Canis lupus familiaris: one gene and its partners. The protein of the gene in region 1 interacts with the protein of each later gene in a biochemical or structural test. Links are inferred from orthologs where the notes say so. Each region holds a gene or a part of one and is shown in the gene's direction. Other genes may lie near its edges. The genes, in order: RANGAP1, USPL1 and RANBP2.

Evidence for each region.
Region 2: of the proteins of RANGAP1 (region 1) and USPL1, one has a biochemical effect on the other in vitro, tested with the Homo sapiens proteins (2 studies listed by BioGRID). The link is inferred for Canis lupus familiaris from reciprocal best matches to the Homo sapiens genes RANGAP1 and USPL1.
Region 3: the proteins of RANGAP1 (region 1) and RANBP2 form a complex in vitro, tested with the Homo sapiens proteins (5 studies listed by BioGRID and IntAct, with this or other methods). The link is inferred for Canis lupus familiaris from reciprocal best matches to the Homo sapiens genes RANGAP1 and RANBP2.

The regions. Positions count from the first base shown.
Region 1 is NC_049231.1:24,911,747-24,915,884, forward strand, and holds the start of RANGAP1 (ran GTPase-activating protein 1), read left to right. Parts: upstream 1-1,212; 5' UTR 1,213-1,322; coding exon 1,323-1,407; intron 1,408-1,788; coding exon 1,789-1,938; intron 1,939-4,138. UniProt on the Homo sapiens protein: GTPase activator for RAN. Converts cytoplasmic GTP-bound RAN to GDP-bound RAN, which is essential for RAN-mediated nuclear import and export. Mediates dissociation of cargo from nuclear export complexes containing XPO1, RAN and RANBP2 after nuclear export.
Region 2 is NC_049246.1:9,453,183-9,456,322, reverse strand, and holds the end of USPL1 (SUMO-specific isopeptidase USPL1), read left to right. Parts: intron 1-546; coding exon 547-2,426; 3' UTR 2,427-2,614; downstream 2,615-3,140. UniProt on the Homo sapiens protein: SUMO-specific isopeptidase involved in protein desumoylation. Specifically binds SUMO proteins with a higher affinity for SUMO2 and SUMO3 which it cleaves more efficiently. Also able to process full-length SUMO proteins to their mature forms.
Region 3 is NC_049231.1:36,158,103-36,161,754, reverse strand, and holds part of RANBP2 (E3 SUMO-protein ligase RanBP2), read left to right. Parts: intron 1-1,560; coding exon 1,561-1,728; intron 1,729-2,386; coding exon 2,387-2,479; intron 2,480-3,051; coding exon 3,052-3,230; intron 3,231-3,652. UniProt on the Homo sapiens protein: E3 SUMO-protein ligase which facilitates SUMO1 and SUMO2 conjugation by UBE2I. Involved in transport factor (Ran-GTP, karyopherin)-mediated protein import via the F-G repeat-containing domain which acts as a docking site for substrates.

The DNA.
Region 1 (4,138 bases):
TGCTAAACCCCCTGAGCCACCCTGGCTGCCCTGTTTGTTTGTTTTTAACCTAGGTACTATGCCCATCCTGGAGCCCAGCATGGGGCTTGAACTTATGACCCTGATATCAAGTCCAGAGCTGAGATCAATAGTTGAACACTTAACCAACTGAGCCATCAGGTGCCCCTCTAACCAATCTGTTTTATTTTTATTTTTATTTTTATTTATTTATTTATTTTTGGACCAATCTGTTTTAAATCGCAACCCCCTCGGGGCACCTGAGTGGCTCAGTGGTTGAGCGTCTGCCTTTGGCTCAGGGCGTGATGCCAGGATCCCAACGTCCTGGGATCGAGTCCCACATCAGGCTTCCCACAGGGAGCCTGCTTCTCCCTCTGCCTACGTCTCTGCCTCTCTTTCTATGTCTCTCATGAATAAATAAAATCTTTATAAATAAATAAATCGCAACCCCCTTAAAACTCCTTACCCCCTTCTCCGTTTGTTTTTCTTATCACTTACACAAATAAGATTCCACATGTCTTATTTAGAACACATGTTTTAAGAGGTGCCCAGCTAGCTCATTTGGTAGAACATGTGACTCGATCTCAGAGTTGTGGGTTTGTGACCCATGTTGGGCATAGAGATTACTTAAAAAAATAAAATCTTAAAAAATAAATAAAAATAAAATCTTATAAAAAAGAGAGAGGGCAGTATTTTTGCTTCATTCACTGCTTGGTTCTGGTATCTAGAGCAACGTCCAGAACATAGTAATACCCAATAAATGTTTATTGAATGAATGAGTGGTGCCTTCTTATCTAGGAGAATAATTCATACATATTTGTAAAAATTGGCAAGCCAGGGTGATCAGGGTTAAGATAAGGAGAAGGAGGTGGGAGGCTGGCTATAGGAGCCCAGAGGAAGCCTGGGGGGAGTTGGAGGATTGGGGAGCCATCACAGTTGTATCTTGAGGACGAATAGATTGGGGAAGGACATGTTCTGGGTAAGGAGTTTTTGTGGGCCCTTCCTCGTTCTGTCTTCCATATCCATCATCCTTGGTCTCCCCTGATGACCTGCCATTTCCTCTTTAGGGAAATGGAGTGGTCTTTCTGCCAATCTGCCGAGTTCTTCCAGGCCAGAAGCTCCTTTCTTCAGCAGCTCTGCCCTTGGTCTATTGTGATGGTGGCTGTTGTGATGTAGAGACCTCTGGTCTCCTAGGAACCCCTGAGGTTTGGCCACCATGGATTGCCCAGTCTTCTGGCTAAGGTTGAAACCAGACGGGCAGTGGGCTGACACCTGTGCCCCATCCCCAGAGACATGCCAGCGTGGGAGGTGGGGCATTTCGCGGGATGGATAACCTGGATCCCTTAGCCATCCTAGTCCTGTTTGAGGAATGGGACCCTCAAACAGAGAGCAGCCAGGATGATCAGGCAGGTGTGTGCCTGGAGTAGGCTCTTTGCATTGCAGCTGTTGGTCTGGGCCCAACTACCATTCACTGGGAGCCCAGAAGATGGGCAGCTCAGATGGCTGTGCTTGGTGTTCCAGCTGGGGCCATTGGGGCAGGCGAGGAGTTAAAATAAGCTAGTAATCCTTCAGGGGCTAAAACATGATTTTACTACTCTTGCCACTTTCTCCACCTTTCTAGAATTGTTCCTTACCTAATAGTGTTTTCATTTCTCCCAGTAGTTTAGCTGTTGGAGTCTCCATGGAGGAGGGGGTGTTAAGCCCCTGAAAGGGCTGATGTCCTACCCGGCCCTCCCCAACCAGGGGGCCCCAGGAGACTCCTGTCTCTTAATGAAACTTCATCCTGCTCAGTTTGCAGATTTCCGGGGGAGCCCAGCAACGTGGCCAGCATGGCCTCTGAAGACATTGCCAAGCTAGCAGAGACACTTGCCAAAACCCAGGTGGCTGGGGGTCAGCTGAGTTTCAAGGGCAAGAGCCTCAAACTCAACACTGCGGAAGATGGTGAGTTCCTGCTTGGGCTGGCCCAGGGGAGGAAAGAGTGTGTGCCAATGACTCTTGTTCCAGCTTGTTTAGCTACATTATCACGTTGTTTGTTACCTAGTAGCTCTGTGAGATAGTTTTGGGTCCCTTTTAGAGTGAGGCTCAAAGATGTGCCCACAAGGACATATATAGGCTTCCCTGCTAGTCATCATGTTTTTGGAGGCCATCCTTGCTGGTGACAGCTTAGGTTGGCTGGTGGAAAGGGCCACTTTATGTCTTAGTGGGAGGAGATAGTAAACAACAAAGGATCACAACAGCAGTGTCAGGGTATAGTCCCTGACTTCTTACTTCCCACCTTTACCACTATGATCCCAGACTGGTTTTGGGAATACTGGTTGGCTTTCCCAGAGGTAAGGCCCTCTTGGGAGGTCTGGTCCGTGCAACTGAATGCCCCTGGAAGAGGGAGGGATGTTCTTGTCCTAGGAACCAGGACTGTAGGGAATTAGGAAGCAGAATGCAGGCCTTGTCTGTTCATCCCTGGCCAAAGCATGGCTAACACTGGTCAACCCTGAATCCCCTGACGTTTGGAAGTGAAGGCACCTACGCCAGCACTTGCAAGGACTCTTGAGGTTCTGGCCCAACCAGGGAAACTGGTATGGACTTGCCCGGTTGTCATGGATTGCAGGCAAGCTTGCTCACCTGCCCTGCCTCAGAAACTGGAGTTCTCAGGTTGTCAGGAGCATGGCAGTGCACATTCCTGATGTCTCTGAAGGGCCTTAACATTTACAGAGTCCCTCCCTGTGCTGTTATCACTTCCGATCACACGTCATCCCTGAGGGGGGGATGTAGAAATGTTACCATTTTATAAATAAGGAGAAGAGATTTGGAAGACCTAACTTGTCCAAGGTCATCTAGCTGGTAAGTAGCAGAGCTGGGATTTTAACAGAGGTCCAGCTAAGTCCCTATTCTTGTGTTTGTCAGTAGACAGCTCAGTTCAGTAAAGATGAATTTGCTTTTTTTTTTTTAAGATTTAAAAAAAAAAAAAAATATTATGTATTCATGAGAGAGAGAGAGAGAGAGAGAGGGAGAGAGGCAGAGACACAGGAGGAGGGAGAAGCAGGCTCTATGCCGGGAGCCGATGTGGGACTTGATCCCAGGGCCCCAGGATCGCGCCCCGGGCCAAAGGCAGGCGTTAAACCGCTGAGCCACCCAGGGATCCCCCTTTTTTTAAGATTTTATTTATTCACGAGAGACAGAGAGGGAGAGGGAGAGGCAGAGACACAGGTAGAGGGAGAAGCAGGCTCCATGCAAGGAGCTCGATGCTTGATGGGACTCGATCCTGGGATTCCAGGATCATGCCCTGGGCCAAAGGCAGGTGCTAAACCGCTCAGCCACCCAGGGATCCCCTGAATTTGCTATTAAATTCCATTCCCTGAATGCTGAGTCAGGCATTCTTTAAGTGCCTGACTTAAGGAAGTTTATCCTCACAAAAGTCCTTGAGGTAGGTCTCATCCCCATTTTGTAGATTGGAAAAGTGAAGCCCTGGGAAATAATAGGACTTGCCTAAGGGCACAGATACAGGTAATGGAGCTAGGATTAGAGCTCAAGCTTGTCTAGCTTTAAAATCTGTGCAGATCACTAATTAACCAGCTCAGGCTGGACATGTTGCCTCCATTTTCTTGGTCACCAGGGATGCCCAGCTTATAGCCCCGGCCTCTGAGGACCTCCTAAGATGGAGTAGGAAGGAGGTACTCAACTGCCAGGGGGTAGAAGGTGAAGCATACTCTGAGCAACGTGAACAGAAAGCTGTGGGAAATACGGCAAGGGAAAGGGATCATTTCTGGTTTAGGAGGGCCCCGGAAGTCCCCATGGATAAGGTGGTTGAACTGTCATTGTAGGGGAGAGGGCAGTAGACGCAGGGAGTATCATGTGAGGGGAGGAGCTGAGACACATAGGGTGGGCTTGGGCGAGAAGGAATCAGGGTGCCATAGGGAGCCCAGTGCAGACAGCCTTGAATGTAGTGTGGAGGAGTCTGGCAGCTGGACCCTGGGCCCAGAAAGGGCCTCCACCTTGGCTGGCAGTGAGCTGGCATAGTCAGGAGAGGGCAAGGCCTGTATGAGGAAGCCATGATGCTTGGAACAAGGCTCTTCTCTCCCCAGTAAGTCATTTAAGGACCAAGGAAAGGCCTTTCTGCTTTCCATGGCTGCATAGTAAACACGGA
Region 2 (3,140 bases), on another chromosome or scaffold:
CCTAAAAACCTCTAGTTTTTTTCCTAACCAAAAAAAGGAAAAGAAGAATTGAACTAAATTAACAATTGAAGCAAATATTGGTACTTGAGGTTACAGGCTTCATTTATCTTGAAAATTCGTGTAAAAGGAAAAACTTAATCAGTTTTCTGATATTGTTGGGTAAATTGGGTGATAATACTGTGATTTTTTTTTTTAAAGACCTTATTTATTCATGAGAGAGACAGAGAGAAAGGCAGAGACACAGGCAGAGGGAGAAGCAGGCTCCATGCAGGGAGCCAGATGTGGGACTCGATCCCTCCCTGAGCCAAAGGCAGACACTCAACTGTTGAGCCACCCAGGTGTCCCAGTCTGTAACTTTTATTAGCCAAATAAGACTTTAGCCTTTGGCAGAGAAAAATGGTGACGTAAGGATAAGACCATGTTCTCTAATGTTCTCCTTTGCTGGATATTCAGGGATATAGCTGAAAAGTGAACCTAAGCCAGAAGAAAGTGAACCTAAGCTGGTGAGTTTTGAATGTCTAACCTTATTACTTCCTCATCCCCTAGGAAGTTGGCTTGAATGTGATGACCTAAAAGGCCTACGTTCTGAAAGACGTGAGAAATTTGAAGTTCTTGGTTCAGAGATACATATTGTTATTTGGGAAAGAAAAACATCCCAAATGACAGATAAAGCATCTGCCTGCCTTCCACTTAAAAAGAGTAATGATGAGCCTGCTTTCAGTGATGAGAAACCAGCCTCTCCAACATCGTGTTCTGTGGGTGATACTGCCACTGCTGGGCCGTCCTCAAGAACTCTCCCCACTGATGTGGCAATTGCTCCTAGCAGTCTCTCGCAGGGTGAAGCTGTAGCTTGTGGACATCATTTATTTTCAGGTCCAGAAGATTTGGTTGACAGTGATATTTTGTCTTTGACACTTGAAGAAATACAGATTAACTCTGAACATTTCCTAAATGAACATGTTGCAGAAAATGCAGGAGTCTGCAAAACAAATACTTCGCAATCACAAGAGTCACGAGTGGCTTCTTTATTATCAGCTCCATGTGTTGAAAAGCTTACTCAAGACCAAGTCATGGATTTAAGCTTTCCATCTCAAATTGTAGATGCAAACATGCAGTTGGCACAGATGAATACAAAAGACGTAATTACTAAACCTGTGAATAGTACTCATGCTACTGATCCTCCTATACATGGAATAAAGCCAATAGAAGTTGAGGGTACGGTTGCCCTAGAGGACACTCCATTAAAACAATTTCTTTCACCCAAAACTGAGAAATTAAAACCAGAACAACCTGTTACAACTCAGGTATCTAATTTGATGAAAAATGAAACTGCAACATTTTCTCAAAGCATGATAATGAAGCCAGTACAGAATCCAACTCTGAAAGAAACTCAGAAGAAACCATTTGTAGGAAGTTGGGTTAAAGGCTTATTAAGCAAGGGTGCTTCTTTTATGCCACCTTGTGTTTCAGCTCATAATAGAAACACTGTAACTGATTTGCAGCCTTCAGTTAAGGGGGCAAGTAATTTTGGTGGTTTTAAAACAAAAGGCGTAAACCAAAAGGCTAACCGGGCTTCTAGGAAAGTTAATAGGTGTGCAAGTAAACCTCCTACAGTTAGTAATTCTCTATCAAGCCGTCCATCATCTGGTAGCATGACTTCTCATGTATGTGCTGCTAATGTTATTGCTGATTCAGATGTTTTGAAGAAATGTGAAAATGCCTCATATGGAGCTCACCGCAGTCACGATTCTTATATAAAAGAAAATGGTATTTCTTCAGCAAACCATGAAGACTCTGTTGAGGGTCAGATTCATAAACTTCGTCTAAAACTTCTTAAAAAACTTAAGGCAAAAAAGAAGAAATTAGCTGCTCTTATGTCTTCCCCCAAAAAAGGAACACTTCCAAGTGAAAAATTAGAACATGTGTCCCATTGTGGGTCTCGAAACAATTGTGAATCAATAGAAGACTTGTTAAAAGAACTACAGTATCAAATTGATACTGCTGACAATAAATCCGGGTGCACCAGATTTCCATACAGTAGTCAAAGTCATGAAGAAATTTTAGCAGAATTATTGTCTCCTGCAACTGTTGTCTCAACAGAGCACTCAGAAAATGGGGAGGCAGACTTTAGATACTTAGAAATGGGAGATGACAACGTCCCAGCACCAGTGTCTACTGAATTAAACAATATTCCCCAAAACACACATCTGAAACAGGACCATAATTACTGTAGCCCCACCAAGAAAAATCAGTGTGAAGTTCAGCCAGACTCACTGACAACTAATGTCTGCATTAGGGCATTGAACTTGGAAAGTTCCATGAAGACTGATATTTTTGATGAGTTTTTTTCCACTTCAGCATTAAATTCTTTAGCAAATGACACAGACTTACCTCATTTTGATGAATATCTGTTTGAGAGTTGTTGAGTGCATGTTACCTCTTTTTAGTTTAATATTTATTACTGCTCTTGGGAAAACTTACTATGTTATTAAGTAGTGTTTACACACTGGCCTTGTCATGAACAAAATATAAGCTACTGAAGATTTTACCTTTGGTTCTACTCACAAAGCATGTCATCTATTTTATAAATTAAAATGATCGAGAATTTGTTTTCCTTGTTTGCCTCATTTTTGTCTTGTGGTAGAATGAGGATTTCAGAATGTTACAAATGAAAAGTAGTATCTAGTTTCTGACAATCTGGTACATAAAATTTCTACATTTTAATTTTGGTTACACTGGGGATCCCTGGGTGGCGCAGCGGTTTGGCGCCTACCTTTGGCCCAGGGCGCGATCCTGGAGACCCGGGATCGAATCCCACATCAGGCTCCCGGTGCATGGAGCCTGCTTCTCCCTCTGCCTGTGTCTCTGCCTCTCTCTCTCTCTCTCTCTGTGACTATCATAAATAAATAAAAATTTAAAAAAAAAAATTTTGGTTACACTGGTTCAGGAAAAACACTAGTTTGTACAAACTTAAGTCCTTGTATATGGCATACAGAATGTGTGACTGGTAATGATTCTGTGATCATATAAGACCCTAAACCTGTTTTCTTATACCAGTTGAGTACTTTGGAATGTAAACTTACCCCCCATACAACTTTCCTTCTCTACCTATAAAAGATGGCAGGAAACCTTGTTACTAG
Region 3 (3,652 bases), about 11 Mb from region 1:
TAAATACAATCCTAAAAAAAAAATGTATCCCTGGCCTAAGAGCAAATTTACCAGTATAGTACAGTAGGATGAAGAGCCTTATTCTGTTTCAAGTCCAAGAATGTCAGGGCCCCGAAGGACCTTAGGGATGGAGGATATAGACATGAGGAAACAGGCCTGATTGGGCTATCTGAAGTGCCCAAGTTGTCTTTACTAGCTAACAGCAGATTTGGAATAAGAATCTGTATCTTACAGTATTGTAATTGATACCATGTTTTTCTATTTAAGGAGAGTAAAAGGAAAGTTTAACTTTGTAAAAGGGCTCCAGTTCTCTAGATCAGATCAAATATGACCTGTGTATGTAATTTAGAATTTTCTAATAGCCACATTAAAAAACAGAATTTAAAAAAAGTGAAAAAAGGAAGCAGATGAAATTAATTTTAATAATCTATCCAGTTATATCTGAAATACCATTTCAAGTTCTAATCAATACAAAAATTAGAGATTTCATATTTTTTTTGTTTGTTTTTTGTTTTTGTACAAAGTCTTCAAAATCCAGTGTGTATTTTTTTTTTTTTTTTAAGAGGGAGAGCTAGCAAAAGTGTGCTCACAAATGGGAGGGGCAAATAGAGAGGAGAGAGAGAATCTCAAGCAGACTGCACACTGAATGTGGAGCCCCATGCAGGGTTCAATCTTACAACCTGGAGATCAAGACCTGAGCCAAAATCAAGAATTGGACGGTTAACTGACTGAGCCACCCAGGTGCCCCAAGAGTGTATTTTTATACTTGGAGTAGGACTCAGTTTGGACTAGCCACATTTTAAGTGCTTTAATAGCCACATGTGACTAAGGTACCATCTTGGACAGCACCAGTTGGCACATGATTTGTTATCTGTTCCCTTTGCCAGATACTCTTCTTTATAGACAACAGCATATCATATGAAGAATCCCTTTTTTTTCTTTGTGTTTTGCTTTTGTTGTTTTTCAGCTATTAAAATGATCTTAGATTCCTACAGTATTACTTACCCCTAGGATAACAGTGGGTTTTGATTTGGTTTTATATGTTATCTGCTTGGAAATATGCAAAACTGGTATAACTGATCACTCGCCATCCTTGACAATTGTTAACTTTCCTTGTAGGAACTAATCAAGGTTAGCTTTGCATTAGTTTCGTATTGATACTAATCTATGCTCATGATTTCTGTAAGTTTTTTCCATTGTTGCAAATGCATGGATATTTTGCTAAACTATTGTTTAGCATGCCAAATATGGTTATGGCAACACTCTATAAATACCTTTTACAATTATAACCATTAATAGTAGTTTTTCTTGATCAGTGAGTAAATGAAATATTTTTTTGGTTTTAAATAGATTCCTTGTTCATTAAGGGTTTTTGACAGAATGTTAAGTCAGGCTTATAATTCTTTACAGAGCTCTGTCTACATCACAATTGGTGTTTTCATCACCATGCTATATTATAACCTAAAGATAAGTCCCATGGTTTTTATTTTCAGTTAGGATATTGATGTTAATACCTATGTAATATCTTGTCTTTATAATTTTTTTGGACTTGTTTTATAGCAAAAGAGAAGGAAAAACCTGAAGATCCTTCCTCAGATGATGATGTTTTCATTGTATATGAGTTAACGCCCACCCCTGAGCAAAAAGCTCTTGCAAGCAAACTTAAACTTCCTCCAACTTTCTTCTGCTATAAGAATAAGCCAGATTATGTTAGTGAAGAAGAGGATGGTAAGCCTTTTGTTATTTTAAACACATAACATTCTTTTCATGCTAGTCTTAGTAATTGGGGGGTATATTTAAATCATTTTTAAGATTGCCTCTTAGAACCCATCACTGCTGTCTTTGTAGGTAGTTGTCTATATGTATATAAATAGTCAATGGATGTAATGATTGAAACAACTGCACTTACCAAGTGAGGATTTTATGGATGCCTACTATGAGTTGAGCAGGCATTTTTGAGAGAATTGAAAACAGTCCTAATTTCCCTGTAGACTTAGAGGGATCAGAGAGTAATGAGGCAGATGGGTGTTTGATTATGGAAAACTTTGTGAGCCATATCAGAATTTTTTAGCCAGGGTCGTACCATGTTCAGAAAGTTTCAGTAGGACCAGTTGAATTTAGTAGTGTAAAGGATTGGGTTGTGGGACATGGAGACAGGAAGATGAACTGAAATAATAGAGTAGCTCAAACAAGAGAGCCTGAATGAAATTTCTGTAATGTTAGGAGAGGTATTAGGAAGATAGAATTGGTACAATTGGGTGTTTTTTCAGTGTGGGGAGTAAGGGAAGGTATGAAGTTGGAGGATAATTTCTAGATTTGTGGCTAGAAAAATTCCTGGAACTTACTAGAAACTTTTTTTATTTAATAAAATCAATTATAATTTAAGATGAAGATTTCGAAACAGCTGTCAAGAAACTTAATGGAAAACTCTATCTGGATGACTCAGAAAAATGTAGACCATTAGAAGAAAAGCTAACAGGTATGTTTTTTAGTATATGTGCTGCCGAAGCGAGCACGCTAACAGGTATGTTAAATTAAAATTGCTAGTTATGCTAAGTTAAAATTACTTATAATTTTTATACATTTATTTATGAGAGGGAGAGAGAGAAAGAAGAGGGTGGAGAAGTAGAGGGAGAGGGAGACAGAGAATCTTAAGCAGCCTCCATGCCCAGTGCGGAGCCTGATGCAGGTGTTGATCTCAGAACCCTGAGCCGAAATCAAGAATCGGATGCTTAACCAACTGAGCCACTCAGGCATCCCACTCTAGTTAAAATGTGTTTTTAAAAAAATCTTCTGTTTAAAAGGAATCTTCTAATCTGATCATTTTTATAATTACCAGTTTTACTCATGTACTATTCCTACGGGTGATTTAAAATATTTGAAAATAACATGAAGTGTAAAACATTGTTTTCATGGGTATCCTTGTTCTCCGTTAGCATTCATAGGTATTGCTATCTGGGTCTGTAATCTGTAAATTGTATTGAGGATCTCTTTTGGAGAGTAGTTGGACTTCTATAACTTTCTTTTGCTTTTATTCTGTGGGATTTTCAGATAATGAAAAAGAATGTGTTATTGTTTGGGAAAAGAAACCAACAGTTGAAGAGAAGGCAAAAGCAGATACGTTAAAGCTTCCACCTACATTTTTTTGTGGAGTCTGCAGTGATACTGATGAGGACAATGGAAATGGGGAAGACTTTCAGTCAGAATTTCAAAAAGTTCAGGACTCTCAGGTAAGAGCATCTCCATTATTTTCCTTCTGGCTCAGTTGCTTTTGTTGATGGCAGTAGACTAGAATGTTCTTACCAAATGGTAATAATGTGTCATGGTTAGAAAATAGGTGTCTATTTACTAATCAGCTTTGGCCAAAGGAGGAGGAATTTTGTTCTACATAGAGGACTGTAAAGGTTCATCCTTATGTGTATGTTGGATTTTTGTGGGGATGGGAGAAATTGACTGAGTAGATATCCCTAAGAGTGTTATTACCACAATACCAAGATTGATATTAAGTAGTTCATTTTTCATGAGTTTATTTTGTGATGGGCAGAGTGGATACGAAGTAGCATTTGAGACTCAGTTCCCTTGGCCTATACCTTGGTTTGTCAGTTTCGTCATTTGATTACTTTCTTAGCTCAATTGTAGTGATAATTTTAAT